Linked DNA regions of Lonchura striata. The protein of the gene in region 1 binds, or shares a complex with, the protein of each later gene. Links are inferred from orthologs where the notes say so. Each region holds a gene or a part of one and is shown in the gene's direction. Other genes may lie near its edges. The genes, in order: NGFR and TRADD.

Region 1 (15,269 bases):
TCACGGATATCGGGGGTCACAGATATCGGGGGTGACAGATAATGGGGGTCACGGATATCGGGGGGGATCACAGATATCGGGGGTCACAGATAATGGGGGTGACGGATATCGGGGGTCACAGATATCGGGGGTGACAGATAATGGGGGTCACGGATATCGGGGGGGATCACAGATATCGGGGGTGACGGATATTGGGGGTGACAGATAATGGGGGTCACGGATATCGGGGCTCACAGATATCGGGGGTCACAGATAATGGGGGGTGACAGATATCGGGGCTCACAGACATCGGGGCTCACAGACATCGGGGCTCCCTCCCGGGGGCTCCCATCCCCTGCTTCCCCCCAGCGCAGCCTCTTCGTTCCGCAGCGCTGCCGGGCCCGCGGGGGGTTCGGTGGCCCCGGGAGGTTTCTCCGGCCCCGGGCCTGTCTGGGCCCCCCCGGCGCTTCCATTTGGCGGCTGCCAGGCCGGGGCCGTTCCGTGCCAAACGCGCCCGCGGCGCTCCCCGGGCCTCGCTTCCCGCATGGCTCCGGCCCAGCGCTGCCATTCCCCGGCACCGGCGGCGGCCCCGCCGGGACCTCCCCGCCGCCCGCCCGGTTCCGGGGCGCGCTAATTGCCCGCCGTTGATCCCCCAATTCCCCGCTGACTCCCGGCAGGGCGGGCCGGCGGCTCCTGGGGAAGGGGAGGGGCGCGTCCAGCCGCGCCCGGAGCACAATCGAGGGGGGAGAAGGTGAAAAAGGCAATTTTGGAGGTGGGGGTGCAGGAAGGGATCCCCTGGGGCAAAGTTTGTGTCCCCCAAAAGCTGCCCTTGGCTGCGGGCAAACCCTTGGGTCACTCGGAGGAGATGGAGCCCCGCACCCGAGCTGTCCCTGGGGAAAAGCAGCCCCCGGCACTTTGTTTTTGGTCGTTTTTTGGAAGGAGCTGCGGATGGCGCGGGGCATTCCCAGCCCTCGGAGCGGCTCCCGGGGCCAGCACCGGGCAGGGGTTTTGCCCGGGAGGCAAAAATCCTTTTTGAGCCCTGGGAAACGCCGGCTGAGGATGCGGGGGAGCCCCCGGGCTGCCCCCGAGCCCTCGGCGGGGACGGAGCCGCCGCTGCCCCGGGAATTGTCGGGCCCGGCAAACCCCGGCCCCTCCCACGGCTGGAAGGAGCCCGGAGCAGCTGGGTTGATAATGACGATTGATAAGCGATTGATGAATGATTGATTGACAAATGATTGATAAAATCGGCTCGCGGAGCACAGACCCAGCACCAGAACCTCCCCAGGGAGGGTGACGCCCCAAATCCGGGCTGATCTCCCTGGAGGAGCCCACCCAGCTCCTTCCCGGCCCCCTCCCCTCATCCCCGGCTGCTGAGGGGGATCCAATCCCCCCAGGAGCGCCCCTGGATGAGTCAGGATGAGCCCCGGGGAGCTCGGCACGGATCAAAGCCCCCAGCAGCTGAACTCGGGGAAATCACAGCCCAGATTTCCGGATTTCTATATCCCAGCAGCTGGAATCGGGGAATTTCCAGCCCAGATTTGCAGATTTCTATACCCCAGCAGCTGGAATTGGGGAGAGGATCCGCGGTCCCAGGAGAGCATCCCCGGCCCCGGGAGAGCATCCCCAGTCCCGGGAGAGGATCCGCGGTCCCAGGAGAGGATCCGCGGTCCCAGGAGAGCATCCCCGGCCCCGGGAGAGCATCCCCAGTCCCGGGAGAGGATCCCCGGCCCCGGGAGAGCATCCCCAGTCCCGGGAGAGGATCCCCGGCCCCGGGAGAGGATCCCCAGTCCCGGGAGAGGATCCCCAGTCCCAGGAGAGCATCCCCAGTCCCGGGAGAGGATCCGCGGCCCCGGGAGAGGATCCCCGGCCCCGGGAGAGGATCCCCGGCCCCGGGAGAGGATCCGGGCCCCGGCGCGGCTGCGGAGCAGGTTGCAGACGGGCAGGGAAGGGAGGCAGGCAGCGCTGCCGCTCGGGGCCATAAATCACCTCCAGCTTTCCTAATGGGACCCTGATTTATCTCCTGCTCTGTCTGGACTAATTGAGTTCATTCCGCTGGGTGATTCATGCCGTGGAAATGGGTTCCAGGGAAGATGGGAGCTCCAGCGGCCTCAGCAAATCCCGGCGCTGCCGGTCTGGGAGCTGCGAACGCTTCCCGGAGCGGCGCTCGGCGGGGAGGCGGCCCCGGCCCGTCCGTCACTGCCAGGGCGCGGCTCCGCTCCCACCGGGGATCCCTCTTTAAACCCCCCCAGGCACCCCTGGGTGCTCCCAGGAGCTTCTCCCTGCTCCAGGCCCTCCTCCCCTCGGCCGCTTTCCCCGTGGCTGTCACGTCCCGGCCCTCATTAAATCCCTGCTACAATCGGATAAAATCGCTTTTACCCAATTTCCTCCTGGCTGTTTGCTGGCTCGGAGAATTCCAGCGGGGCCGAGACAGCGCTGCCCGTCCCAATGCGATTATCCCGGCCCGATCGATCGATCCCGGCTGCCCGGCCCTTGGCAAACTCGCGCCCGGCTCCCGGAGCGGCCGAACCCTCCCCGGGCTCCTCCCTGCACCGATCCCCACCGGGAACCCGGGAATGAAAATAAAACCAGCAGCGGGAATGAAAATAAAACCAGCAGCGGGGTCATTGAGCTGGGCAGGGAGCGGCCCCAGGATCCCTCTGGATGTGCCGGGACACGGGGCCGGGGCCGGGCTCCGCTCCCGCAGGTGCTCGCGGCTCATTTGCATAAGGGATGAAGGCAGCAATTAAATTCCCTCATCATCTCGGCGGGCTGGGAAAAGAGCTCCCCCCGCTCCTGCGTCTGTCACTGCTGGGAAGAGGCTCTGGAGAGGCGAAATTCCCACCCGGAGGTGAAATTCCCACCCGGAGGTGAAATTCCCACCCGGAGGTGAAAATCCCACCCCCGCTTCCACAGGGGAAACTGAGGCACTGCTGAGCGGGCAGGCAATGGAGAACATCCCGGCCTGGAGTGGGCTGGGAGGAGCCCAAAAATCCACTGGATCTCCTCCGGGCTGCACAGTGGGATTAGAGGGTTGTTTTAGGGCCCTTCCAGTGGTAATATTCTATTCTATTCTATTCTATTCTATTCTATTCTATTCTATTCTATTCTATTCTATTCTATTCATCTCTATTCATCTCTATTCATCTCTATTCATCTCTATTCTATTCATCTCTATTCTATTTACCTCTATTTTATTTCTAGTTCATGTCTATTTTATTTCTATTTTTTCTATATTTTTTCTCTTTTTTCCTATTTTATTTCTAATTTATTTCTATTTCATCTTTATTTCATCTCTATTCCGTTCTACTCATCCCTCTTCCATTCTACCTTTATCTCCTTCTACTCCAGCCGAGCACCGAGTCAATTAAAACAAATCCCCACCCCCAAACGAAAACCAAACGCAGCGAAAAGCGCAGCCCTGAGCCGAGGAAGATAAAAAATCTCTCGGCCGGCTCGTCCCCGCTGACACTCCGCTGCCGGCAGCGGAATTCCCGATCCATCAGCACCAACCCCGGGATCAATGGGCCCCAAAGCCGGCCCGGGGAGGAGGAGCGGCCCCGGCGCGGGGGGATCGATCGATCATCGATATCGCCGCTGCCGCTGCCGGGCGTGGCCCGTGCCTCCTCCTGCCCGTCCCCCGCCGCCGGGATTTTCTCCCCGGGGCTGCCCGGGCCCCGCTTTCTCTCCGGGCTTTGTTTTTGCCAGCCCGGCTCGGCTTTCCCGGCCGCTCCTCCAGGCCGGCCTTATAAGGGCCCGCGGAGCAGGGAGAGATTCATGCCCAGTCCCCCCTGCTGCCGGCAGGGTGATGGATCGCGCTGCGAAACACGGGAAGAAAGGGAAAAAGGGAAGGGGGGAGGCCGGGAGCTGCCGGAGCGGGGCAGGGACGGGGATGGAGGCAGGAACCGCCGGCCTGGAAAGCGGGAGACAATCCCAAAGGAGAGCGGGACCCCCGAGGGCACGGGAGCCGCGTTTGGGGGGCTTGGGGAGCGCTGGGGAGCTCGGGGCTTTGGGGTGACACCCCCATCCCTGTGGGAATGACAGCCCCGTTTCCATGGGAAAAATAGTCCCATTTCCATGGAATAACTGACCCCATCCCTGTGGGAATGACAGCCCCATTTCCATGGGAATAACAGCCCCATTTCCATGGAATAACTGACCCCATCCCTGTGGGAATGACAGACCCATTTCCATGGAATAACTGACCCCATCCCTGTGGGAATAACAGCCCCATTTCCATGGGATTACTGACCCCATCCCTGTGGGACTAACAGCCCCATTTCCATGGGAATAACCGACCCCATCCTATAGGAATAACAGCCCCATTTCCATGGAATAACTCACCCCATCCCTGTGGGAATAACAGCCCCATTTCTATGGGAAAAACAGCCCCATTTCCATGGAATAACTGACCCCATTGCTGTAGGAATGACAGCCCCATTTCCATGGGAATAACAGCCCCATTTCCATGGAATAACTGACCCCATCCTATAGGAATAACAGCCCCATTTCCATGGGATTACTGACCCTATGGGGAATAACAGCCCCATTTCCATGGGAATAACTCACCCCATCCTATAGGAATAACAGCCCCATTTCCAGGGAATAACTGGGCCCCACTTCCATGAAAAACTGGGCCCCATTTCCATGGAATAACTGGCCCCGTTCCTACAGGAATAACTTCCGAGCTGTGTTATTAATTCATCCTCATTTCTGTCTCGCCCTCACCGCAGAATCGGCTGTGTCGGGAAGGGAATTTCACCCGGTTTGGAGTAAAAGCCGTAAAACCTCCGCAGGCCCCGAGTGTTTAAGCCGGGCTCGCTCTGGGGGCTCTTTCGGAGCCCCCCGGCGTGGAGGGAGAGGGGAAACATCCCCTGGAGCCCCCCGGGCGATCTGGAGGAGCCCGAAGGGAGATAACGAGGGGGTGAAAGCGCTGCGGGGCCGGGAGGGGCTGCACGCGATGTTTCACCCAGTTCTAATTGCCCTTTCGCTAATTAATCCCGCCCTTTCCGCGCTCCCTCCAGCATGGGAGCCTCTGCATGCGTGACCCCGTCAGCCTGAGGGGAGCTCGGGAGCCGCCGGGGAAATCCTGTAAAATCCATGGAAGGATTTTTTTGTGATTAAAAGCGGGGCCGAGCCCTCCCTGAGCTGCTCCCAGTGCACAGACCCAGCCCTGGCACCGCCCCGCCGTGCCCTGCTGGCACCGGGAGCCGATTTTGGGTCCCCCCCGATGGCCACGAGGCTTTTGGGGACAGTGATCAGCCCCACCCCAGAGCCAGTGGCAGGTGGGTGGATTTTGGGGCGGCTTTAGGGGTTGCAAGAGTTCAATTTCCCCCCCCACAAAAAAACCCCGGAGCCTTTGGGTTTAATTCCAGGAGGTGACACCAGAACTTCGGGAGGTTCTTTGTCACTCACGGAGCCGGGAAAGCGCCACAGCTGTTTTGGGGACGGGAAAAAGGAGGCGCGTGTGATCCGGTGAAGAATTCCGCGAGTCCCTTCTCCAGAGGAGCCGCGGGGGCTGGGATGGGAGCGGGAATTTTCCCTCCCAGCCCGGCGCAGATGGAGCCCGGCTGGGCGGGACGGGCTCTGCCAGGGCTGCGGCTTTTCCCGGGATGCTCCCCAGACTCCCACCGGGACACGGCGGCGGCGGGGACGGGGCTCGGGGACCGCGGGCCACGAGCTCGGTGTCCCCGGCACGGGCAGGACGAGGAGGAGGAGGAGGGGGAGGAGGGATTTATCCAAGGGCCCGAGGAGAACATCTGGATTTGCCACTTGCTGCGGTGAATTAATTGCGGGATCCCGCGGCTGCTCCCTGCTGTGCCAGCCCTGCCTCGCGTCTGCTCCCGGGAATGTCCCCAAGGGTGGTGTCCCTTTGTCCCCTGCAGCCGGGGGAAGCTCGGTCACCCCTTCCCATTCCACTGGGGCTGCGGTGTCATCGGTGATCCCAGAAAAAACCCTTAAAACGCTGGGATTATGGCTGGCATCCCAATCCTGGGTGGGCATCCCAATCTTGGGTGGGCATCCCAGCCCCCGGGTGGGCATCCCAGCCCCCGGGCACCTCCCAGCCCGTTCCCACCTGGCCCCAGCGTGGCTTTTTTGGCTGCGAACGCTTCTCCATGTGGCTCGCAGATGTTCTGCCCGTGACGAGAACAAACGGCAGCTTTGGCTCGGCTTTAATCCCACGGAAAAGCTGCGAGAGAGGGAATTCCGTGAAGCCCTTCCCGGGCTGAGCCAGCGGCAGCAGCCGGCCCTGAGCACCTCGGAGGCTCCAGAATTGGCTTTTCCAGAGGAAATCCAGCGGAGTGGCGCTTTCCCACCGTGACCCGCGGGATTTCGGGGCTCCGGTGGCTGCAGGGCTGGGAACTGCTGGATTTTGGGAGCCCCAAAAGCACCTGCAGAGCCCGGAGCGGGGAGGAAACACCTGGAGCTGGACGCACACGAGGCCAAATCCGCTGTGCCGTGGCCACCGCGGCCGCAGGAGCCAGCCCGGGGCAGCGACAGCGAGGCGGGGCCGCTCCCGGTGGCACCGGTGCCCGGTGCCGCGGTTGGGTGGCCCCGCGGAGCCGTGCCCGGGGCTGACGCAGCGCTGCGGGGTGGGGAAGGAGCCCTGGCATTGCCAGCTGCGGGCACTGCGGGCCCGGCGAGGGCAGGAGGCCAGGCAGAGTCACCCTGGGGCGCCGGGACAAAGGAGGGCGGCACGCGGGGACCTTGCAGGGCCCACGGGGAGCCCAGATGGGATTTCTTTGTGTGGAGGGCAGAAATACAAAGATTTGATTCAGTCCCCGCCGCGTGCCCCCCTCGGGGGCCTCTGGGTGACACCGCCCGGCTGGGACGGGCCCGGGGTGTCCCCGGGCCGGGGATTTTGTCCCTTGTCCCCAGCAGCCGGGGCAGGTCTGGTCACCCCATCCCGCCCCTGGGGCCGCGATGGCAGCGGTGACGCCACCCCGGGGCCGGGGACAGACAGACGGACCGGGGGAGGAGGGGGTGCCGAGGGGGCTGGAGGACGGGCAGACGGCACAGGAGGCAAAGCCGTGGATGGGCTGAAGAGCCCCGGCTGGGCTGGGAGCGAGCGCGCCCCAGAAACGCTTCGTGGGCGGGCGGCGGGGCCCGGGGGGCCCGGGGGGACCGGGGGGGCCCGGGGGAACCGGGCTTTGTGTGGCGGCGGCGGAGGGTGCGGGCTCGGCCGCTCCGTGATGCTCCGGGGGCGGGGAGGAGGAGGAGGAGGAGGGGGAGGAGGAGGAGGGACTTGCAGCTCTTTTCTGGCCGCCGCCGCGGCGGAGAGCGGCAGAGCCAGGGCAGCCCGGCCGCGCTCCGGCTTCCGGGGCTGTCACCGGCCCCGCTCCGCTGCCCCCGCCATGGCCGGGCTCCTGCCGCTGCTGCTGCTCCTGCTGCCGGCGGTGAGTGCGGGGAGCGGCGCCCGGGGCAGCCCCGACAGCCCCGGCGGGGAGGGGATGCGGCGTCCCGGGGGCACCGGGAGCGTCCCCGGAGGCACCGGGGGATGGACAGCCCCGAGGCACCGGGCGGGGGTGGGATGGAGGGGCCCGGAGGCTTCACACGGGGGTGTCCGGAGGGTCCCGGGGACCCCGGGGTGGGAGCCCCGCGGGTGAGGGGCAGCGGACAGCACAGGCAGGAGCGGGGTCCCCGCCGTGCGGGGCTGGAGGATCCCGGGGGCACCGGAGAGCCCCGGGGAGGCGAGCAGAGCTCTTTGGGGTGCGGTGGGAGGGGGCGTGGGGAGCTGGGTGGGGATGGGGTCCCGCAGCCCCTCCGGTGCCGCTGCCCCGAGCTCTGCCACTGCAAAGAGTGACGGAGCCCCAGCCCGGGGGGAGCCCCCCCAGTGCCTTCATCACCTGCCCCGCACGCACCCCCCGCAACCTCTCGCAGACTTTCCCGGCTCCCAGGTGCCCCACAGCTGAGGCTGAGAGCCTTTTCCTCCCGGCAGAGCCCTCGCCGTGTGCCCCAGACAAAAAACTTCAGGGCAGGCTGGGGTGGGGGGGCCAGCAGAGAGGGGAGTGCCCGGAGTGGGGCCGGGGGGCTCCGAGCCCGCAGCTGGGGCAGGAGCGGGGCTGTTTGGGGGGCAGGATTTGCCGGGGGTCCCAGGGGGGCCGTCAGGCAGCCGGACACCCCTCGGGCAGGATATTAAAGGCGGAGTTGAGCGGCTCCGTGCAGGAGCGGAGCGGGGCTGGCAGCGCCGTGCCGGGGGGTCCTTTCCCCCACAGCCCCCCGGGATCGGGATCGGGATGGCCAAAGCGCCCCGGGATAGCGGGACAGCGGCCGGGGGGGCCCGGAGCTGTCCCAGCCAGATGGATCCCAACCATTCCCCCCCCAGGGCATCGCCCTCTCGCCCCTCCCCGGCTGCTGCAGCGGGGCCGGGCTCTGATGTCCCCAAATCGCCGCTTCCCTGCGCCGGGGTCACCGCGGGGAGCTGCTTCTGCCCTCCGGGACCGCACCTGCGGGGCTGGGAGTGTTCCTGGGGGGGGACAACAGGGACCCCGGCTGTGCTCCCCCAGCTCCGCGCACCCCGGGACCCCGCAGCCCGGGACCCCCGCAGCCCGGGACCCCGCACACCGGGACCCCCGCAGCCCGGGACCCCCGCAGCCCCCGCAGCCCGGGACCCCCGCAGCCCCCGCAGCCCGGGACCCCGCACCCCGGGACCCCCGCAGCCCCCGCAGCCCGGGACCCCCGCAGCCCCCGCAGCCCGGGACCCCGCAGCCCCCGCAGCCCGGGACCCCCGCAGCCCGGGATCCCCGCAGCCCGGGATCCCCGCAGCCCGGGACCCCCGCAGCCCCCGCAGCCCGGGACCCCGCAGCCCGGCCCGCCGCGCTCGCCGCTCGGTGCCTGCGCTGCTCGGCCCGGGAGCGGCGGAGCCTCCCAGGGCCGGCCGGAGCCGCAGCGCTCGGACGCGGCTCCCCGAGCTGCCCAAAGTTCGGGAGGCGCCGGGAGCCGGGATTTGGCCTCTCCCAGACGCGGTGCTCGGCCAAGAGAGGCAGAGCGCGCCCGCCGGGCTCGCGTCTCGCAGCCGGGCTCGTCTCCAGCTGGAGCATCCCCTCCTGGTGCCGGGCGCTCCGCGGTGCCAGACTCCGAAATCCCGCTCGGAGCGGCTCTGTCCTCCCCCGGCAGCGCCTGCCCGGGCTCCGACCCCCCCGGCACGGCTCCAAAAAGCAATTAAGAGCTTCCAGAGGTGTCGCCTGCGCCCTCCGGCCGCGGCCGGGCCGGGCCAGCTGTCAGGATGCTTTACGGCGTTAATAGCCGCGGCTTTGTCACCGGGAGCCGCGCTAACAGCGCGCGTTTCCGCAGCCTAACGCGGGCCAGGTGCCGTGCCCGGCCGGGGGGCTCGGGAAAGCCCCGGAGCGAGGGGCCCGCGGCACCTGGAGCCGGGAATTGGGAGCGCTCGGGGCGCGGGGGCGGGAGGGGACAGGACAGGTGGCCCGGGAGCGGAGCCGGTGGCCCGGCCAGGCCCGGCCCACGCGGGACCGCCCGCAGCTGCCTGCGGCGTGGGGGAGCTGGAATGGGAGACTGGGGAAGGGCTGGGATCGGGGAAGGGCTGGCATCGGGGAAGGGCTGGGATCGGGGAAGGGCTGGGATCGGGGGAAGGGCTGGGATTGGGGAAGGGCTGGGATTGGGGGAAGGTCTGGGATCGGGGAAGGGCTGGGATCGGGGAAGGGCTGGGATCGGGGAAGATCGCGGATCAGGGGAAGGTCTGGGATCGGGGAAGGGCCGGGATTGGGGAAGGGCTGGGATCGGGGAAGGGCTGGGATCGGGGAAGATCTGGGATCGGGGAAGGGCTGGGATCGGGGAAAGATCCGGGATCGGGTAGGGGCTGGGATCGGGGAAGATCTGGGACTGGGGAAGGGCTGGGATCGAGGAAAGATCTGGGATCGGCGAAGGTCTGGGACTGGGGGAAGGTCTGGGATCGGGGAAGGGCTGGGATCGGGGAAGGGCTGGGATCGGGGGAAGATCTGGGATCAGGGGAAGGTCTGGGATTGGGGAAGGTCTGGGACTGGGGGAAGGTCTGGGATTGGGAGAAGGTCTGGGATCGGGGAAGGGCTGGGATCGGGGAAGGTCTGGGATCAGGGAAAGATCTGGGATCAGGGAAAGATCTGGGATCTCTGGATGCTCTGGGATCTTTAGAAGCTTTGAGACTGGAGGAAGATCTGGGATCCCTGGAAGCTCTGGGATCCCTGGAAGCTCTGGGATCCCTGGGATCTCTGGATGCTCTGGGATCTTTGGAAGCTCTGGAATTGTGGGGTGCTCTGCGATCAGGGGATGCTCTGGGATCCCTGGAAGCTCGGGGATCCCTGGAAGCTCAGGGATCACAGGATGCTCTGGGATCTCTGGGATCCTTGGATGCTCTGGGATCCCTGGAAGCTCTGGAAGCTCTGGGATCCCTGGAAGCTCTGGGATCCCTGGAAGCTCTGGAAGCTCTGGGATCCCTGGAAGCTCTGGATGCCCCCGTGTCCATCCCGGTCACTAGTCACAGCCAGGCACGCCCGGCTGCCCCAGCCCCATTCCCAGCCTCTGGAATCACTTCCCAGGGAGCCGTGAGCTCCCCAAACCCTGCCCGAATGGAGCAGCGGGATGAGCTGCGGCCAAAATCCCCAAATGTGCCCCCACGAGCGGCGCATGGCATCACCCCAAACCCTTCCCAGGGGATATTTGGGGGTACTGGGAGGATTCCCGATATTCCAATCCCTCCTGCCCACCCAGAGAGGGAAAAGGGTCTGGGAAAAGAGTCTAGAAAAGGTTCTGGGAAAATGATCTGGAAAAATGGTCTGGAAAAGGTTCTGGGAAAAGGGTCTGGAAAAAGGGCCTGGGAAATGCTTCTGGTAAAAGGGTCTGGAAAAAAGGCTTGGAAAAAGGGTCTGGAAAAAGGATCTGGAAAAAGGGCTTGGGAAAAGGGTCTGGGAAACGGGCCTGGGAAAAGGGTCTGGAAAAATATTCTGGAAAAAGAGCCTGGGAAAAGGGTCTGGAAAAGGGGTCTGGAGGAAGGGGCTGCCAGCGGGCTGGCGGAGCCGGGCGGGGAGGGGCAGCGGCCGCCTCGCAGCGCAGGGTAATTGGAGCACTTTGTCATTCAGCTGCCTGGAATTGGCGCTCCATTGTCTCGGCCCCGCCGGATGCGGCGCGGGGCTCCGAGCGCCGCACCGAGCGCGGGGACGCGGCCAAGGCGCTGACGAGGCCGCCAGATGCTCCCCCGAGCCTCTCCCCCCTTCCCCAAAATCAGCCGTGGGTGGGTGGCCAAGGGACGGCGCGGCCCCGGGGCTGCGGCCAGCGGGAGCGGGAGGAGCGCTGGGACCTGCGGGACGGGGTTCCTGGGTTTTGGGGGGCAGCTCGGCCCTCCCCGGGCTGCAGAGGGGCCCGTGGGGGTGCCCGTGGGATGTTCGTGGCTCTCGGGGGTGGTGACACGTTGTGCCAGCAGGGACACCCGGTGCCGGCGCACAGCGAGGTCCTGCCGCTCCCTCAGCTCCTCATTGCCGGTGCCCGCGGGTTTTGGGGGGCAGCGGTGCCAGCCAGGCTCTCCAGAGCCCCCGCCGAGGCAGGAATTTCTGCTCTCCTCTCCCGTTCCCCAGGCTGGGAAGGGCCGAGCCCCCCGGGATGGCGCAGAGCCCTCGGGGGAGGCGGCTGAGGAGCGACAAGGACAAACCGAGGCCACAGCACCCCAAAACACCCCTGGGCGCCCCGCCGTCTCCCTCCAGCCGCACAACTCGGCAGGGCTTTCCCCGAGGAGTGAATTTTGCCCGGAAAAGCGCTTTTCCCTCCCAGATCTGCACGTAGCGCGAGCGGGGTGTCCCCGGAGCGGGCCCGGCCCCGGCTGTCCCATCCCCCGGGCGGCAGGAGTGACCTCCCGGCTCTGCTCTCCCCAGGGCCCCGCCGGCGCCTCCAAGGACGATTGTTTCTCCAAGCTGTTCACGGCCAGCGGGGAGTGCTGCCGGGTCTGCAACGTGGGCGAGGGCGTGGTGCAGCCCTGCGGGCTCAACCAGACGGTCTGCGAGCCCTGCCTGGACAGTGAGTGCCCCCAGCCCCGGGCAAGGCCGTGCGCCCTGCCCGAGCATCCCTCCTTCCCTCCGGGCAGCGCCGCAGCGATCCCGGCCCGCCCCTCCGCTGAGCCAGGGCCGGGTTCTGGGGACAGGATTGCTTAAAACGGGAGATTCTTGCCCCAAAATGGGAGTTGGGGCACGGGGAGGGGCACAGCCCCACAGCGGGGTCTGGGCAGCGCTGCCAGGCACCGGGAGGGGGTCGGGATGGTGCCTGCACGGGAGGATCCTCGGGACTGGGATATTCCCGGATTCCCTGAGCCCTGCAAGCAGCCAGGGCTGCTCCGGGAGGAGATGGGAGAGGGGCAGGGCTGGAGCGGGGCTGGGAGGGAGTGGAGAGGAGGCACAGGAGGCTGGAGGAGCCAGGGCAGGGCTAAAAATACCTCAGCGTCCTGAGAAATCGATGGACGGCTCTGCCTCCCTGAGCCCGGCCGGGAAACGGGGCTGGACCCCAGAGAGGGACGGACCCCAGAGAGGGATGGACCCCAGAAAGGGATGGATCCCAGAGAGGGACGGATCCATGTGAGGGATGGATCCCACCAAGGGATGGATCCCACCAAGAGAAAACCTCCTCCCCACCCTCATCTCTTCCCTGAGAGGGATTTTGGGTGTGGAGGAAAGGAAACCTGCAAACACAGCAGCCATCCCTTGCTGGGATGGGGAGAGGACCCCTGTGGCCCTGGATCCCTCTGGAACCCCCTGGATCCTTCTGGAACCCCCTGGATCCCTCTGGAACCCCCCAGGATCCCTCTGGAACCCCCCAGACCCCTCTGGAACCCCCTGGATCCCTCTGGAACCCCCTGGATCCCTCTGGAACCCCCCAGGATCCCTCTGGAACCCCCCCGATCCCTCTGGAACCCCCTGGATCCCTCTGGAACCCCCTGGATCCCTCTGGAACCCCCCAAATCCCCCCGGATCCCCCCGATCTCCCCGGATCGTGCCGCCGCGGGCCGGGCAGGTGGAGGCAGCCCCGCTGCTGGCACAGCCGGTGCCCAGGAATGCGGGCACGGCCCAGGGCCGAGGGTCCCCACCTGCACCCGGGGCTGCCTTCTCCGAGCACTCCCTTGGACGCGTTCCCGACCCTCCGGGGGAATTGTTCCGGAAAAAATCTGCTGCAACCAAAGCCCGGCCCCCGCCAAAGCCCGGGGGGCTGCCAGAAACCACCCCGAGAGGGGGGGTGCTGCTCTAATTCCCCCGTTCCCCCCATTGCGGCCCTCCCCAGGGCCCGGGTGCTGCCTCATGATTTATTTATCCCTCGCAGCCTCCGGGGGAGGGAGGGATGGGGCCGAGGGGCCGCTTTGAATCTGGGCTGTAATTGCTCAGCTCAGATACCTTCGGCTGCCACTGCAAATGTGCCCACTCAGCCGAAAGCCTTTCCTGGCCACTTCCCCGCTCTAATGGCGCCCATCAATAATTCAGGATAATGCGAGGGATGAGCCCAGGTTAATGGGAGCCGCGTGTGCCGCCCCGGGGCTGCTCCGGCGCTGCTCGCCCGGCCGGGCACGGGGCAGGGGCTGGCAGCGGCGGGGACGGCGTGCCCAGCGCGGCCGGGCTGCCCCGTCCCCGGGAGTGTCCGAGGGTGGCACACGGAGCAGCCTGGGGTAGCGGGACGTGTCCTTGTGCAGGGACTGGGTGGGGTTTGAGGTCCCTCCTGGCCCAAACCATTCCAGGATTTTGGGATTCCACATCCCCTGCAGGTCCTCAGCACACGAGGGCACCGGCACAGGGTGAGGGAAGGTGTTGGGGATGGGAAAGATCCGCCGGCGAGGCTGGGATGGAACCTCCCACCCTCCCACCCGCCCGTTCCCGGGGTTTTGGGGCGCTTCATCCCCTCTGGATCACCCCGAAATTCCCGTCCCACACACTCGGTGTCCCCGGGGGAGCCGCTGGGAGCAGGATCCATTCCCAGCTCGGCACGAGGCCCGGCAGCGCAGGGACCGGGCCGGGCTCCCCGGCCCCTTCCCCGTCCCTGCGGCTGGAATTTCCCCGGGACGGGGCCGGGCTCCGGGCGGATCACCGGGAGGAGCGGGCAGCGCGGGGGCCGCGGCAGCTGCGCCCCCCGGGACGGGCTCCGCTCGCTCTTCCGGGGCTAAAAATACCCCGAGCTGCCGGGGCAGCGGCAGAGCGCGGCGGGGATTGATTTCCCCGGCAGCAGCGTCCTGCGGGATGAAACCGGAGCGCCGCAGCCGCGGGCTCGGGCGCAGTCAGCGCTTCGGTCACCGCCGCGCTCCCGCGGCCGGGCAGGGGGCGCGGGGGACCCCCGGGAGGATGCGGAGGGCAAGGTGACGGGATGTGAGGAGCGGGCAGGGCCGGAGGGACCGGCGGGAGGTCGGAAATGGGAATACAATCAGGAATTCGCGGCGGGAGGAGAGCAGGGAGCGCGGGGGCAGCGCGGCCAGACTGGGCCCCCGCGGAGCCGGGGATTGAGGCGGGGATGGGGTGAGGAGGCGGAATGGGGGCGATGTTCATGGGAAAGGGAGGCTCGGAGCTGGGAATTGGGGTGGGAATAGTGCAGGTGTCACGGGAAAGGGAGCCTGGAAGGATGCTCCAAACTGGGAATTGCTGGAATGGGGAAGGTGTGAATGAGCCTGGAAGGATGCTCCAAACTGGGAATTGCTGGGGAATGGGGAAGGTGTGAATGAGCCTGGAAGGATGCTCCAAACTGGGAATTGCTGGAACGGGGAAGGTGTGAATGAGCCTGGAAGGATGCTCCAAACTGGGAATTGCTGGAATGGGGAAGGTGTGAATGAGCCTGGAAGGATGCTCCAAACTGGGAATTGCTGGAATGGGGAAGGTGTGAATGAGCCTGGAAGGATGCTCCAAACTGGGAATTGCTGGAACGGGGAAGGTGTGAATGAGCCTGGAAGGATGCTCCAAACTGGGAATTGCTGGAACGGGGAAGGTGTGAATGAGCCTGGAAGGATGCTCCAAACTGGGAATTGCTGGGGAATGGGGAAGGTGTGAATGAGCCTGGAAGGATGCTCCAAACTGGGAATTGCTGGAATGGGGAAGGTGTGAATGAGCCTGGAAGGATGCTCCAAACTGGGAATTGCTGGAATGGGGAAGGTGTGAATGAGCCTGGAAGGATGCTCCAAACTGGGAATTACTGGAACGGGGAAGGTGTCAATGGGCCTGGAAGGATGCTCCAAACTGGGAATTGCTGGAATTGGGAAGGTGTCAATGGGCCTGGAAGGATGCTCCAAACTGGGAATTGCTGGGGAATGGGGAAGGTGTGAATGGGCCTGGAAGGATGCTCCAAACTGG
Region 2 (15,203 bases), on another chromosome or scaffold:
ATTAAAAGGCAGAGGAGTGGGAAGCAAGTCTGGCCCTGCAGCACTACACATACATCTTGTGATACAGAGTAACAGAGCGGAAAAACACAGACAGAACTCTGATGCAGGCCAAGCCCTGCAGACCAAGAACCCCCAACCCAGGTGTACATATGTGTGGGGAGGACAGGAACAAGACCAGGATGATGCTGGAGTTATGCTGAGCAGGATCTGGCAGGTGCCTGTTCCCCCTTCCCACACAGTGCCCCTCACCTTCCTCTTGATGTGCTCCAGGAGGTGCTCGTGGCCCTGCAGGAAGCAGAGGTGCTGGAACTCGGTGTCATCCCTCTCAGGCTTGACCAGCCCACCCTGCTCGATGTTCACCACCTTCCTGAAGCCATCTGCACAGAGAGGACATGGCTGATGGGCAACAGGAGCCAGCACTCCCTCCACCTCCCACCCTCGTCACTCTTGAGGACATTTCTGATCACCCTCCACACTTTTTGAGCTGCCAGTGCTTATCCCTGGACATGCTTTTGGGCCATAACCACCAGAAATCCAGGGCAAGGGAGAGCCCTGTGCATCCCACTGGCCACCTATGCTGCAGCCTGTGCCACGAAAGCCTTTCCATCACAGGCATGTTGCTCTGCCAGGAGCTGGAATGCCAGCTTTTAGGGAATTCCTGTCTCAATTTGCAAGCCACGGGGATTCAGGGGAAGGTTTTTCAAAGGCACAGACCATCAACAGGTGTCACTTTTGGAAAAAAGGGTCACGTGCACATTTGGAAATCTGCTTTGAGTACTTCTCTGAAGTCCTTAGAAGTTTCTAAGCTGTATTTAAGGAGTAGCCTAAAATTTACAAAAATGCTACTACAGAGTGAAATAGCAAAGTTAAAACTGACTAAGGAACTTAATTTCTCATTGAAAAATTTCCAACACCTATTAGAACAGTCATGTTGCTGAAGTGGCTGAAAATTACACCTAAACCTTCTTTAAGGGATCAGCAAGGCAAGGTTTGCAGGGAGAGGAACTGTCTGTTACTGAATTCAGTGATATGGCTGGTGAAAGGGATAAGGTCAGGGCACACGACCCACAAGAACAGCATATTCTGGGGGAGGTGTTACAGTTGGTGGCTGGATAAAACTCCATACAGAATAAAATGGAAAATTAATAATAATTGGTCATCAAATCAATGCAAGAGAAGCAGAATACCTGGTAGGTGAAAGTTCTTAGCCAACATCCTATAAATGTAATCCTAGAAATGTAATCTAACAGAAATGTCATGCTGAAATTTAAGGTAAATACAAGGAGATCACTACTCTGGGATCTGAGAGGCAGATCCTCTTTGGCAAAATCAATAATGCCACAAGAAGTCACATACATGAGACCCCAAACTTTTCTCTGCACAATTCTCTCCCATGCCTCCTGTCACCCCCCCTTATTTGTGGGGCCCACTGTCCTGGCCCTGGGAACTGCACTTACACATGTTCAGCTGCCGCACGAAGCTGGCCATGTTGTTGTGCTTGAAATACTTGGGCAGCACCTCTTTGGCAAAGCGGCCTTGGTCGAACACATGGAAGCTGGTGCCATTCTGCAAAGGGGATAAGGACACAGGCAAAGTCAGGGGAGCATCCCTGACCACGAGAGGGGCCCAAGAGGAGTCCTACAGCAGGGGAAGTCTTGTTCTCTGAATTGCCACATTGAAGCTAAGAAGAGTGAGAACAGCCCTCAATGACAGATGTGTCGCTTTCAGTTCCGGTACAGTCAGGACTCTATGGGTGCAGGTTTGATACTTTTCTGCTTTTTGTCACTGCTTAGTTGAGAGTCTTGGATGTAAGAAAGAAACCACTGACTTTTGTGCCCAAATAGCTGGTAGGTAGTCTGTGATCATCCCCTCTTTCATGGACTTCTCAGAAAGACTCAAGTCTTAAGAAGGCCCTGAAAGTGGGAATTGCCATTATAACCTACTGGTTCAGATCTAACCCAAATCCACCGGCTCCAGAGCACAGCAGCCCTGGAGGGAGTACTGCCTGGAGACATGGCACAAGAAACACAGCAAGGCAAGAAGCAAATCATCTCTGGAGACACCAGACTTGCCCAGAAGCTCTACACACATTTTATTGATTATTTTTAATAGTAAACAACCACAAGGGCAACCGACAAAATGTTGACAATCACGCTTTGCAGTCCAAGCTAGCAACACACATGTTAATCAGATAAATCTTCCATTTCTGGGGTTGCATTGCAAAGATCCATGACTGCCAAACAAGGCAAACTGCCTGGGATTGTTGGCAGAGAAGATGCACTGCAGGCCATGTGCTTTCCCTGCCTGGCCTTCTACCTGCTGACAGCTACAATGACATCAGCAGATATTAGGGGGGACTTGCCTCAGCTGCAGCTGAGTTTCAAGGGACAAGAGCTAAAGACACCAGGGCCTGCACCATGCTGGCAGGGAGGGGTCTGAGACCAGCACACCACAGTCATCCTCCTGCTGTGTTCAGTGCTATTACATCAGACAGAGGTGTGTCAGCCTGGCTGGGCATGCCAGGGGCTGGTTTGTGATACAGGACAGTGTTTTGCAAGAGCCCTCAGGCTCTGTGTGCAGTAGGAGGTACCAGTGGTGTGAGTCCCACCTCGCACCCATCGGGGGGCTGCAGCTGTGAGGGTGCTCTCAGGGAAGTCTGGAAGTCTCTAAAACAGGGAGTGCAATCAGGGCTGCTCAATCCCAGTGCAGCTCAGTGACTAAAGAGGGGCTGGTGTGTACCTGCAGCCTGCCCATGGCCACCAGAAAACAGCCAGCTGGCAAACCCTGCTGTCCTACACTGCATTTCCATCACCAAATGGTGCCAGTTGCCTCTGGCTCAGGCTCATTTTGCAGCTCTAACAATTAACACCCACTAACATGGGACTTTGGGTCAGCTGCACTTCTTGCTCCTTGCTTACTACTGCAAACACTGAACATGACTGTGCCTCAGCAGTGCTCTTTGACCATTTTTGGGGTCTTTCCTATCATTCCTTACCCTATGCAGCAGAAGCAAAGGCTGATCAAGCACTTCAAAGATTCACTGACAGCCTGCATGCTGGAATTATCCTCACAGATAGAGTTTGCCGACAGGACAGCAGGGACCAGGGTTTCCCAAAACTGCAGGCACTGCCCTGGGGACAGAGCTGGTTTATTCTGCTTCTCCTGTGCTTCTGCCTCCTTACTCTGGGATACAGCTTTGTGTCCCAGGCTGGACCCACTGATGGAAAATGAGAAGCACAAGAGTTTTGTATACCTTAACAAGTCCTTATGGCCTTTCATGAGAGGCCATTCCTTTGAATTCAGGGCCACAATGTTCTCAGAAGCTGGCACACTCAGAAAGGCTCCTACAGACACAAGAGGTCTTGGGGTTACTGTGTGCTCACCGGTGAACTGTACATGTGTCAGTTTGTTCCCACACTGCAGCTGTGCCGTGGCTGTTTTACACCATGGGAGCACAAACTCAGAGAAACTCTGGAAGTCTTCTCTGCCCAAAGCAAAACTGACTCTGCAGCACAACAATCGTGGCAGATGCTTATCTCAACTGCTTTTGACAGAACCACCAGGACAGGCATGTTGTGCTCTGACAAGACAAGTGCTAGTCCAGGAATTTGCCAGTTCTCTCTTACTGCATTTCCATTTAAAAAATGAATTTAATTACTTCTTGTCCAATCTACTACAGACACAGAGAGCAGAGTTTTCCTTTCCACCTCACAACAGACTTTAGTGTATATATAAACCATTACTGCATTTCCTCTCCATCTCTTCTTCATCCTAAGAAACAGTTCACAGGTCCTTATGGGTCCTGTTTTCTAGAACTACTGATTACACCCAGAAATCTTAGGCATACACACAATCTCTCAGCTCCAACATCACCAATATATAGAAGCTGAAGAATATGCGAAACACGGATACCTGCAACAACAGGAAAATTAGACACCTAAAAGCCTAACCAAAACCTCCAAGGATATAGCTGCATGTTAGTTTCCAGGAAATCAAAGCACAGTGATGGTCAATGTAAAATAACAGTGTTCTAAGTATAACAGAGAGGGGACTATTTACACAGGTTAGAAAATTATTTATAGCTTTAAAATCCTTATTTAAAATTTAAAATTTGGTGGTTCTCAGAGGTATGGCCATGTAATACCAGCATCAAACAACCATGGTCACAGATATCAATGCAGCTGAAATCCTGTCTCAGGTTTGGAATGAAAAGTCTACTGTACACAAAGTATATAAAAGAAAGGCTGCTTTAGACATTTTTACCACCTCTCTTTAAATCTGCTTTTGTTAGATTCTTGATTTTGGAAAACAAGTTTAAGTACATAGCTTATCTAATAACTCCCTGCTGAAAACAAATCATATTACTTGCAGCAAGTTGTAGGTCAAAACCACAATGTGGTATCAATTGTTGTATAAAGGGGACAAATATTTTTTTTCTGTGCTTGCAGTTAGTATATTAATGCCTCTGTGAAAAATAAGAAGCCAAAGCAAAGCAAACTATCCCCGTGAAGCTGTACAGACAATATATAACCACATCACTTTTATCATCACACAGACTCATTGAAAAATCAAGTAAAGCTCTTCCAAAACAATTCAGGGTGCCAGTCTGAGATCTGTTTAAATTACAGGTTTGAATCTGAGTTCTGAGTGCTCTTTATCTGCTGCCTTCCACCCAGACATTTGTGAGAAGCTGCTAAGAAGCACATATGAGATAACACCAAACAGCAGTGAAACTTTTTAAGGGTTTTGCATATTTCCTAGAAAATGTTAGGGAGCTGCAGATTCAAGCAAGGTGAAAAATATTTCTCTCAAAGCATGTGGAATTCTTAGAATCAGAAAATTAGACACTTTTTAGGATGTTTCAAGTGAAATGTGTAAATATCATCATTAAAACACCCACGAAACAGTTGCCCCTCTGAAACAGAAATGCCATGATATTTCAGATAAATAATACCAAGTATATCCAAAAGCGCCTGTTCTTGTATCCTGTTTTTGCACTCTGCCAGGGCAGCACCTGCCAAGCAGAGGGCAGCTCCTGTGCCGTGCAGTTCTCAGGCCTCACACCTGGGTTTTCCCTGTTGTTGCAGGCATTAGTGACACCCGATACCTGTTGTACTTACAGAACTCCAGCAGATGAGATGGTTCGTTTCAGGGTCTTCCACCAGCGTCCAGAGTTTTGTTAGGAAGGCTGGGACATTGCTGGAGTATCCATCCATCACCAGAGAGCTGGGTGAATCCTGCATAGCTTTGCAGTGTCCCAGCTAAACTGACCCCATTGCCCTGGGCGCGCCTGCGTCCCTGCACGCGCCCGCGTCCCGCAGAGAATGAGCCACCCAATTTTATCCCAGGCCAGTGGAAAGTAGGCGTCCAGGGAGTCACATCAGCAGTGCTGCTCGCACTCTTAAAAACTCAGCACAATGGGATGGCATCACCAGCCCCAGAGAACAATGCACAGAATGAAAATGCACTGCAGCCGATCTCGCAGAGCTGTGAATAAATACGCAGCGTCATGCAAAGGGAACACGTGCTGCCCACCTTATGCTGGGAGGTGGGCAAGTCACCAGAGCAAACCCACCTGCCCAGAGTCTGTGGGACACCCAGGCACAGACATCCCAGGTGGCTGAAGGCACCTGAGTTGTTAGTTTGTAATTTTCTTGTCCTAAACTTTGGCTGGCATAGACGAAGGAGAGCTGGCCAGACCCAGGCTGTACATCTTCAGCAAGACTTTGAAAAGTCAAAAGTGTAAGCAGGTTTAGCTACTATCTTATTTGTCAACAGAAATTATTTAGCTCTTGCATGAGAAAACAGGATGCTAAAAACAGCTACACATAGAGTCTATTAGACAATATGGTTTTATCTTCAATATAAAATCTTAAATAGCTCTAAATACATGTGTGGCTTAATGCCAGAGTAATTTCAACTCAGAAACTGCTCTTTAAATAACATAATAAAATATAAAATCAATATTAAATTTTTCTGAGGTCCTTAGCAAAAACTTGCAAAGCTCAACATTCCTGCTAAAAAATGGAACAGATTTCTCACCTGATTCCTACAGAGTCCTTTAAGGCCAAACACTGAAAGAGTCAGAAGGTGAGAAGAGACAAGATTAGTGTCAGGATAACAGTGCATTAATTTTTTCTTGTCATTTTCAAAGGGCAACTTAGTGTACTAAGAATGTGGTATTTCCCCTAAAACCGAAAACCAGCAAGTGACACAAATTTTATATAAGCAGGTGCTAGTCATGCCAGGTAAAATCATCACACATAGAAGTCACAAGGTCAGCAGTGCCATGGAAGAGTGGAGTAGATGTTTGACACGCACTGGAAACAAGGATCAGGCTATTCCTGCAAAGGTGCTTGGGCAGAGGACCCCACTTCTCTCACCTGACCTCTATGAAGTGCCAAACAGAGCTGGAAGGAACAGCTGCAGCCCCCTGTCTGCGTACCTGGAAGTTTCTGTGTCCATCTCAAAGAGAAAGATAATACAATATTCAAACAAGGATTTCTTCTGGGATGTAACGCCACAGTTCTGGCTCTGGAGCAGATATTTTAACAATTCAGTCAGGTATGAATATGGGAAAACATCCAAAACTGCAATTAATTCTCAATAGAATTGAGAAAAATAAAACAACAGCAACAAAAAAAAGGGCCACACACATTAGAATTTAACAAACAAATCAAACTGGACTACAGAGGTTTCAAACTTGAAATTTCACTATATTTTGAATTTGAACTTTAAAAATTATGAAAATCTCTTGGTCAGTTGTTTCACAGTTTGTTTTGGTTTTGTTTTTGTTTTTCAATTAATCCTAAGAAGCTGAGTGATACTTTTCAAGAGTTAAAAATGTCAGATGAAAGCTTTTTGGGGAAAAAATGGTCTTTTTTCCTACAGTGAGGTTTTGCTACTCTGAGTAATAAAAATGCAAGGGAATTTTCTGGTACTGCTGCACTGGTATTCAAAAAGCTGAGACAGATTTCTCAAACTGTGGGGGAAAAACCTCTTTGCAAGCAGAAGCTCTGCACAGAAAACAGCCTTACATATCCATTTTTTTACTGATAGTGCAACAGAAGGCCTAGAGTAGAAACCAGCAGCTTAATGATGGTGGTCCTTGCCTGGGATGAGATGTTGCAGTTTGGAAAAAAATCCTTTTTTGACTTTGACTCCAATTTGCAGAAACTGCACTTAAAATGTCTGACACAATAAGGGAAACATGTATTTTAATCAACCTTTCCTGTGAACTATAATGCAGAAGAGTAAGTATCTGGGAAGAAGGTTTAGAGCATCAGATCATTACCTAACTTTTCCATTTGCCTTCTTCCAAAATGTGTTGCACCTCTCTTCTAGATTTCTGCACAAACTACACTCCCACCATGACATGTTTTTTCAGCCCTCTCATATTTTAAAAGCAAATATTTCCCTTCCCAGGCCAGCACTGGAGTGTGGGCCTGATCTCACAGTCTCACTCTGAATTTCATGGCACACCCTCTCTGGGGCTGTGGAAGCCCCAGGTCCCAGAGTCACAGCACTCCCTCAGCAGTGCAGGTTTCATTTAAATAAAAACCTGTGCACCAAAAGAGCCTCAAAGAAGAGCTGGAGTTGAAACCCATGAAGCAAGTACGGAGCAGCAACGCAAAAAGCGTAACGCAGAGGGGAACACAACTGCACGTTTTTCTAGAATGTGCTGCTTTGAAGCGTGACTCCTTACTGGGAGTGTGAGGTGGCAGCAGCACAGCAGCTGTGCTATCTTATCTGCCATCATATCAGCGACAACCCCCTTCCCACCCAGCCCAGCTACAGCACCAAGTGACACCATCCTGCTTCCTTCCTGGGAACTCAGCATCTTCTGCCATTTTCTCTGAAAATCACCTTGACAGCTCGGACATTGTTCTTCTACTTTTAGCTGCTTTTAATACTGTCTGTAACACATATCAGCCAAAGTGTTACAGCAAAATGAGATCTCATATTCAGCTCCTTTTGTTTTATGATTTCCTTAAAGCCTTTGGAGCCATTAAGAAGGATCATAAATCTCACAGACAGTAAGAGTGTGCTTGTAGCCTTCTGACTGCTGCCAGCTCAGGGCAGCCTGGCCCATCCCAGCCCCAGCCCCCCAGGCAGACTTGCCTCTGAACCCTGACACCCCAATTCTGTGCCAGCTGAGCCCCACTGAGCCACAGCCTCTCCCTTCACTACCATCTTTACTTCTCAAGTGGGAAATAACAAGATGAAACTCCAAGTGCTCATCAAGCACTTTGATTTAGCCCCAAGGGATGCTCCCAGAAAGTACACACTCAGCAAGGGTCAGCAGAGGAGAAACCTGGGGCGCAGCTAGCCATTCTTTTTTTACCCCCACAATATACAGAAGGCAGACTGGCTTCAAGGAGAGAACATTTCCAGGACATGGGTGAGTGATGCTCCCCACAGCAGTCACACTGTAGTTCCCACCTGGTTCTGGGAGCCAACACTGCTTCAGGTTTGGCTTTTATAGTGAAATGTTGGGATGTTCAAGTTCACTTAGCCCTATCAGACAGACCTTTAAATGTATGAACTCATTTGCTAAAACTGTTAGCAAGTAAATGCTTTGTTTCCAGAAGCATTGGCCCCATCAGGCTTGCTGACCCTGAAGGGGTCTGTGGAAACTGCCTGCCCCCCTGGATCTGACCCTGTGAACCAGAGCACCCAGGAGATCTAGCCTAGGTTAACCTCTTTACAGTTCTATTTGAATCACATCTTTGCTTTAGCAAATGAATTAGGTTTATTGTTAAAATGCCGTTGTTTTAAAATAGCATCAGATATATAGGTATTTTTAGTGTTTTAAAATGCTTCCTGCTCTTTTTAGCAGTTCAGGCGCCCAATTTGCACAAACCACTGCCAAGCCAGAGTGCCTGCAGCTTGCACGTCAGCCCAAAATCTGGCCCCAGGCCCATGCCAGCTTTTCACCAGCTGGGGACAAACAAGGGAGCTGCTGTTATCCTTCAGCTCACAGGGCACCTGTGCAAGGCAGATGCAGCCTGGGCAGGAGGCTGCTACCTGAGGAGCAAAGGAGACCCAAATCATGCTTTGGCACAGAATCTCTCGTGGACTTGGGAAATGCTGCTTCATTCTCTCCACCTATCCAAGCTCTCACCAGCAGCACTACGGGGAAAAGCTGACAACTGCAGCCTCCGTGTGTCAGCCACAAGGCACGCAGGGGCTTCAAGCCACCGCACTGGCCTCCATCCCTAATGGTCCAGAGAGATCCGTGCATGGCATCCCTCGGGCAGCTCTGGAGCCACCTGCACGGAGTGCTTCTGACAGATGTCACACCCTCACCTGCACCAGAGCCACCGAGCTGTGTGGGCGGCCTTGCGGCGGGGACACCTGAGGCGTCAAGGTGTCCGCAAGCCCCTGCCCCCGGGGCGGGCCCGGACAATCAGCAGGCACCGGAGGGAAGCGCCGCCGGCCATTCCAAGGGCTGTTGGGATTTACTTTCGCCTTCCCGTTTCCCCGCCCGCCGCGGCGCCGCGCCGGGGCGGAAGTGTGGGGCCGAGGCCGGCGCTGAGGAGGTAACGCCGCCGGGCCGGGCCGGGCCGGGGCGGGGGTCCCGCCGGGACAGCGAGGGGCCGGGCTGGAGGGGCCGCTGCGGGCTCTCGGTGCCGGGCTGGGGGCACACCGGGCACCGAGCGGGCAGCCGGGCAGCGCCGGGCCCGCGGGCGGCACAGCGCGGCGGGATGGAGCCGGCGGCTGCTCCGGCGCTTTTCCCTTTGGGACAGCCCCCTCACAGCCCGGCTGTGACGGGAGTTGAGCAGCGGCGGCCTGACGCCTGCCGAAGTCAGCGAAAAGGCAATGACCGTGATGGCAAACGTGACTTACGGTCCGGGGCTGGTTTTGGAAGCACCCCGCAGCGGTTTGGCCGGGGGCTGGGACGGGGCAGTGCTCGCTGGACGGGAAGAGACCCGCTGGGTTAACACTGCAGAGGCACAAGAGCAAAGGGCATTAACAAAGCAGAGGGGTACCCCGAGCTACAGAATCACCGAATGGTTTGGGCTGGAAGGAACCTTTCCAAGGCCATCCAGTTTGACTCCTCTGCGGTGACCGGAAACATCTTCAACTAGGTCTGGTCTCTCAGAGCCCAATCCCACCGGGCCTTGAATATTTTCAGAGATGGGGCATCCACCACCTCTCTATGCCTGTACCTTGCTACCCTCACTATAAAAAATTTCTTGATATCTAATCTAAATCTACCCTCTTTTAGTTTAAACCTATTACCCTTGTCCTGCCTGTGTAGAGTATCCTGTTACAAGAGCTCTGGGCCCTGTGAACAACCAAGCCACCAGGACCTTAAGGAAAACGTCTCTGGTTGCAATAGAGCTTCAGTCCATGGGAGCATGCCACAGCCAGGACTGCTGGGTGGTCCCTGGAGTGCTTCAATCATTTCACATTTTGCCAGCTTGGCTAGTCAGAGGCACACGGACTGAAACTCTGCTTCAGAGTACCTTTGGACTTCGAAATGAATGGACTGCAGTGGAAAATGAAAGCAAAGCTTTGCGAGCTGCTCTTTTTGGGATATGGTGTCCCACTGTGGTGTGCTTTACAGAATAACAGTAAACCCCTCAAAGGCTACACTTGCTTTAGCAACATCAGCACTGCTCCAAGAAGTAAGAGAATATCCCCATAAGCTGTTGTGCCTCTGCTATAACATTCTCCTGGCATCAGGACATTTCCCTTATGGCCTCTGAGCTTGCCTGTGTGATTTTGCAGGGTGCTGAAGATGGCAGGCAGCTCCCCTCCTTGGACTGGCAGTGCTTACCTCTTCCTTCAGTCTACCTGCAAGACCATCGCTCTGCCGTCCCTCTACGAGAGCTCCCAGAAGAAGCCTTGTGTGTTCAAGGCCCTGAAGCTGGCGTTAGCAGGTACCCATCCTCTGGTATCTTGGTGTGCAGTGCCATGCCTTTCTTTAATCTCACCCTCACGGGTAAGGAAAGCTCATGCTCGCTCTGTTTAGGAAAGGCAATGAGGTGGAGCAAGCTCAGCACAGGTTCACCAAGATGGCTGGGGGCTGGAGTACTTTTGCTATGAGGAGAAGCTGAGGGAGTTGGACCTGTTGAGCCTGAGGAAGAGAAGGTTTCAGGGGACCTACCAACAGCTTGCTGATACCTATGGGAGGGAGAGATGGAGCCACACTGTTCATAGTGGTGCATGGGGAATGAGAGGCAAGAGGCACAAATTGAAATGAAAGGTAGATACCTGACAAAAGAACAAATGTTTCCCCCATTAAGACAGTCAAGCAGTTGCCCAGAGTGACTGTGTACTCTCCATCCTCAAGGGCTTTCAGACAGACTGGATAAAGCCCTGAGCAACTGGTTCTGACCTCAGAGCTCACCCTGCTTTGCATAGGAGTTTGGGCTGGACACTTCCTGGGCTTCCTTCCAACTTGAACCATCCTGTGAATTATCAAACTTTATGAATGTTTGTTTAAACCCATTTATGTAACAGGGGAAAAGATTGCAATTGCTGTGAAAGAAGATTTAATTGCTGTCTTTATAGCACCACAGAAACATGATTTCTGCTTTGAGAAGCTGTTTTTTAAATCAAGTAATAGCCAGTATAAATTAATTTCTATTCAAATTCTGATATAATTCAAATTCAGATTCTGATATAAGCAGACACACATTAGCTTGAGGTGTATGTAACCCTATTTACATAAAAGAATTACTTGATATGCAAATAGCCGTAAAACCATATATTTCTCTATCCACCCTTGACCAAGCACACTGCAGGGTGATAGTAATTTGAAGAGTTTATCACACTTACCTAGGAAGACTCGCAGTGGTTACACAGTTACACAGCTGAGACTCTATTGTTTAATTGGGCTTGTCTAACTATTCTGCAGTTTCTTCTGGAAACCATGCCAAGTCAGTTTATCCAATACAGGCCTGCTCATTTTGCAGCTCATTCCAAATACAGGAAACAGGAAGCAGGCAGCCTGATACAGTTGTCCAGTTAGGCTTGATTTATTGCTGCTCTGTGGCACTGAAATGTGAATCTACTCACACATTTAAAGGACAGCTCACAAAACTGAAATCCTATCATGCTTATTCAGACCTGAAAAGGACATGAAATCTTAAGCTGCCCGAGGTTTCATGCAGAAGTGCCTGCAAAGTCCCATCTTTTGAGGCTGCTTTACAGCTGTCTTGTACACTCTTCATAAGGGTTTCCATGTCTGTGCAGCTTTCCCTCCACAGCCCTCTTGCCCTATTATGGAAGTTTTGTTTAATAAGCACTCATAAAAAGCAAAGCATGAAGGAAATGATAAAAAATCATCCACAGTGAATTTAAATATCTTTTCTAGGTGCCTAAACCCATGTGTCAGTTACACATGTGGTCCAAACTAGACCAGATGCAAACAGGACTTAGTAAACATGTAAAGCCACTGTTAGATACTATACTTTTAAATACAAGGTTACTTGCCCTGCTTAATGTGGAGCACACAAGTCTGCCTTGTCTTAAGATTGTCCTCCATGCCATGACACGTAGTTTAGGTATTTACCTGATGTAGGGCCAGTGTGAGCTGGTGTCTCCATACAGCTCTCAGTGACAGCCCATGAGGTGCAGTCAGGTCTGGAAGTAGTACAGCAGCCTCACAAAGGCCTCTGCTGCAAAAAAAAGAGAAAAACACATACTTAGAACTCATCAGCAGCATGTAAAATCCTGTGGAGATAAGGATAATAAGCACAGCTAATAAAAATTAAATTCTGCTGGGAGAAGGAAGAATTAAGTCCTGGCATTTTCTGTTTCCACATCGCTTGTGCTCCTCCTGCACTAATGTTACAGGGTACATCCCTGGCTTCTCCTTGTTTAGATTTTACCATTAATTAATTTTCTGTGCAAAATAACAAGTCAAGGCCCAACCTCAAGCAGCTTAACCCCTGTGGCAGGATCTGTCATTTGCTGTTTGTGAAACATGTTAAAGGCTCAGAAAAACAAAAGTTACCTCTAGGCACAGGTGGAGAGGAAACACTGAGTTTCTTTCCAGGACCTCCATCACTGCATAAAACTCCAGTCACAAAGACTGAAGGCTGACTGAGCACTGAGGTGAACTGAGCTTTCATCTATAAAACTTTTGTATGCTACCAGTTTATCATAACTATCTCCGTCCTGGAGATGGAACCTCAAATTTAAAACTTGCCCTTATTAGGGCAGTATTGATATAATTACCTGGGATGTAGTTCCATACATCTTATGTTGGACACCATACTCATGGAGATCAGTGGAGGCAGGGCAGCATGAACTTAATCTTTCCCTCTTGGTTTAACACATTTTTCCATCCCAGAGGACTTTATCACAAAGAGATTGCAAAAGCTCCTCTATTGCAGGCTTGCTGTGGATGGGTGGGGTCTGTGTGGGCTGGCTCATGCCTGGATTGTGACTGTGCTCCCTTCTCCCTGCCAGACTCCACTGGCAGCGTGAATGGTGTGGACATGCTCAAGGTGCACTGTAGCCACCCACACCTGATAGTCCAGCTCAGGTTCTGCAAGGAGGAGAACTGCCGCCGCTTCCTGCAGAGCTACCGCGAAGGAGCACTCCAGAAGTCCCTCCAGAGTCACCTCCAGCTCTGCTTGGCCACAACCATGGTGCCTCTGGAAGTGGAGCTGAAGGCTGGCAGTGAGCACCTTGACAAGATGCTGAAGGATGAGGATCGTTGCCTGGAGTGCATCTACAGAGAAAAGGTGAGTGAGAGAGGGAGAGAGGCTGGAAAACAATGAGGAGGGGTGGCACTGGGCTTGCAGAGGTGGGTGCAAGTCTTGTTCTGATGGAGCATTCAGTCCTTTAGATCTTAACTCTAATGTGGAGAAATAGCTCTGCCCTTCCTCAGAAAAAAGGGCAATAGAGTTACCTAAAGCAGCCTGCAAAGAGCCTGCTAACTCTCTGTGCCTTCTGTGTATAACAGCTAGCGTGGTTGTTATCCCCACTAAGACAAGGAGTTCTAGACAGTGCAGCTTACACACAAGTGTCCTCAGTACAGCTGTGAGGCAGGCAGAGAGGAGCAGCCCTGGCTGGAACCATCACTGCTCTGCACCTCCCTCCCCTGCCTCACACACCACCTCCTCCCAGAGTGGCAAAGGTAACTGCACCTGGAAATGAGCAGTGGAAGTGAGTGCAAACACTGCACATCACAAAAACTTGTGTCAGAGGACACACAGCATCTACTGGCAGCAAGAGTAGGCTGCCCTTCTGAAGGCAAAGTCTCTCTCATCTGACTTCTGGTTCATTGCACACTTTGGCACTGGCACTCTAATCCTGCTTGCAAGAACAGTGAGATCTTGTCATCTCACGACAAGGCACTTGATATGATTAAACTCACTGACTTGTTCCCCTCCTCTTTTTTTTTCCATCTGGAACTTTAGCTCTGGTTCCTCTAAATGGTCCTGAGAAACAGGCATTCACTATCAATAGGAATATTAGGCATCAGCAAGCACAGCTTTGCAGGCTGGTGTCCCTGCAGAGTCACTGATGCTGTTTGTGTTACAGCCTGACCGCCTGCCAGATGAGGAGATCATGGAGCTGGAGGAAAGCCTCAAGAGCCTGGTGCTTCACCAGAGCACCAACAACAATATGGCTGCAAAAGACTGCTCGTCTCTGCAGTCCCCATCTCAGCCTTATCCTCCTCAAGGCGGCTCCCTTCCCATACAACTCACCTTCATCTTTCAGGGACAGCAGTTTGGTGAGTAGCTAGAGCTGACCAACAGAGGCCTTGGTCTGACTCACAGCCCAGGAGGGAGAATTATCATGACTGCATATTGGGGTCTACCTCAGAGAAACAAAGCACTTCCCAGCATCCCATAAGAAAGAAATTACAGTAGTCCTAAGATATTGCCATGATGCTTCAGATCAGGCATCAACCTGTTTTCTTTTCAGGGGTGGCACAGAACCACATATTTCAGAGTTTCTGTCCCTTCCACAGTCCTCACATTTTAAAATGAATAGTGGAAGGAAGACTATAGAGTATTTTTCTCTTCTTCTATGTCACTTGGTTGAGGTGAGTTAATAGTGTAGGTTGGATCAGGCTGGGGGAGTTACCATGGACACCCTCAGCCCTGCTTTCAGACAGGACTGATTTGTCCAGGCTCCCTCAATTCACCAGCTGGCTTTGGGGTCTGTCCCTGCAGAGGGTTTTCAGAGAGTCTCAACAGCAATATCAGCTTGAGATAAGCGATCATTTCTGA

What was found.
Region 2: the proteins of NGFR (region 1) and TRADD are in contact, whole or in part, in an NMR structure (PDB 7CSQ), measured with the Homo sapiens proteins. The link is inferred for Lonchura striata from reciprocal best matches to the Homo sapiens genes NGFR and TRADD. Residues at the interface, in NP_002498.1 of Homo sapiens: Glu345, Glu346, Glu348, Lys349, Leu350, Asn352, Gly353, Ser354, Ala355, Glu379, Ala380, Cys381, Arg384, Glu420; in NP_001310481.1 of Homo sapiens: Thr201, Phe202, Asn211, Ala275, Glu276, Arg278, Arg279, Thr281, Gln283, Arg284, Glu287.

What each region holds. Positions count from the first base shown.
Region 1 is NC_134627.1:7,911,695-7,926,963, reverse strand, and holds the start of NGFR (tumor necrosis factor receptor superfamily member 16), read left to right. Parts: upstream 1-7,275; 5' UTR 7,276-7,331; coding exon 7,332-7,373; intron 7,374-11,834; coding exon 11,835-11,976; intron 11,977-15,269. UniProt on the Homo sapiens protein: Low affinity receptor which can bind to NGF, BDNF, NTF3, and NTF4. Forms a heterodimeric receptor with SORCS2 that binds the precursor forms of NGF, BDNF and NTF3 with high affinity, and has much lower affinity for mature NGF and BDNF.
Region 2 is NC_134615.1:15,182,820-15,198,022, forward strand, and holds the start of TRADD (tumor necrosis factor receptor type 1-associated DEATH domain protein), read left to right. Parts: upstream 1-9,421; 5' UTR 9,422-9,542; intron 9,543-10,737; 5' UTR 10,738-10,747; coding exon 10,748-10,889; intron 10,890-13,428; coding exon 13,429-13,706; intron 13,707-14,508; coding exon 14,509-14,701; intron 14,702-15,203. Other genes in the region: HSF4 (heat shock factor protein 4), read right to left, coding at 250-377, 1,458-1,566, 5,121-5,243. UniProt on the Homo sapiens protein: Adapter molecule for TNFRSF1A/TNFR1 that specifically associates with the cytoplasmic domain of activated TNFRSF1A/TNFR1 mediating its interaction with FADD.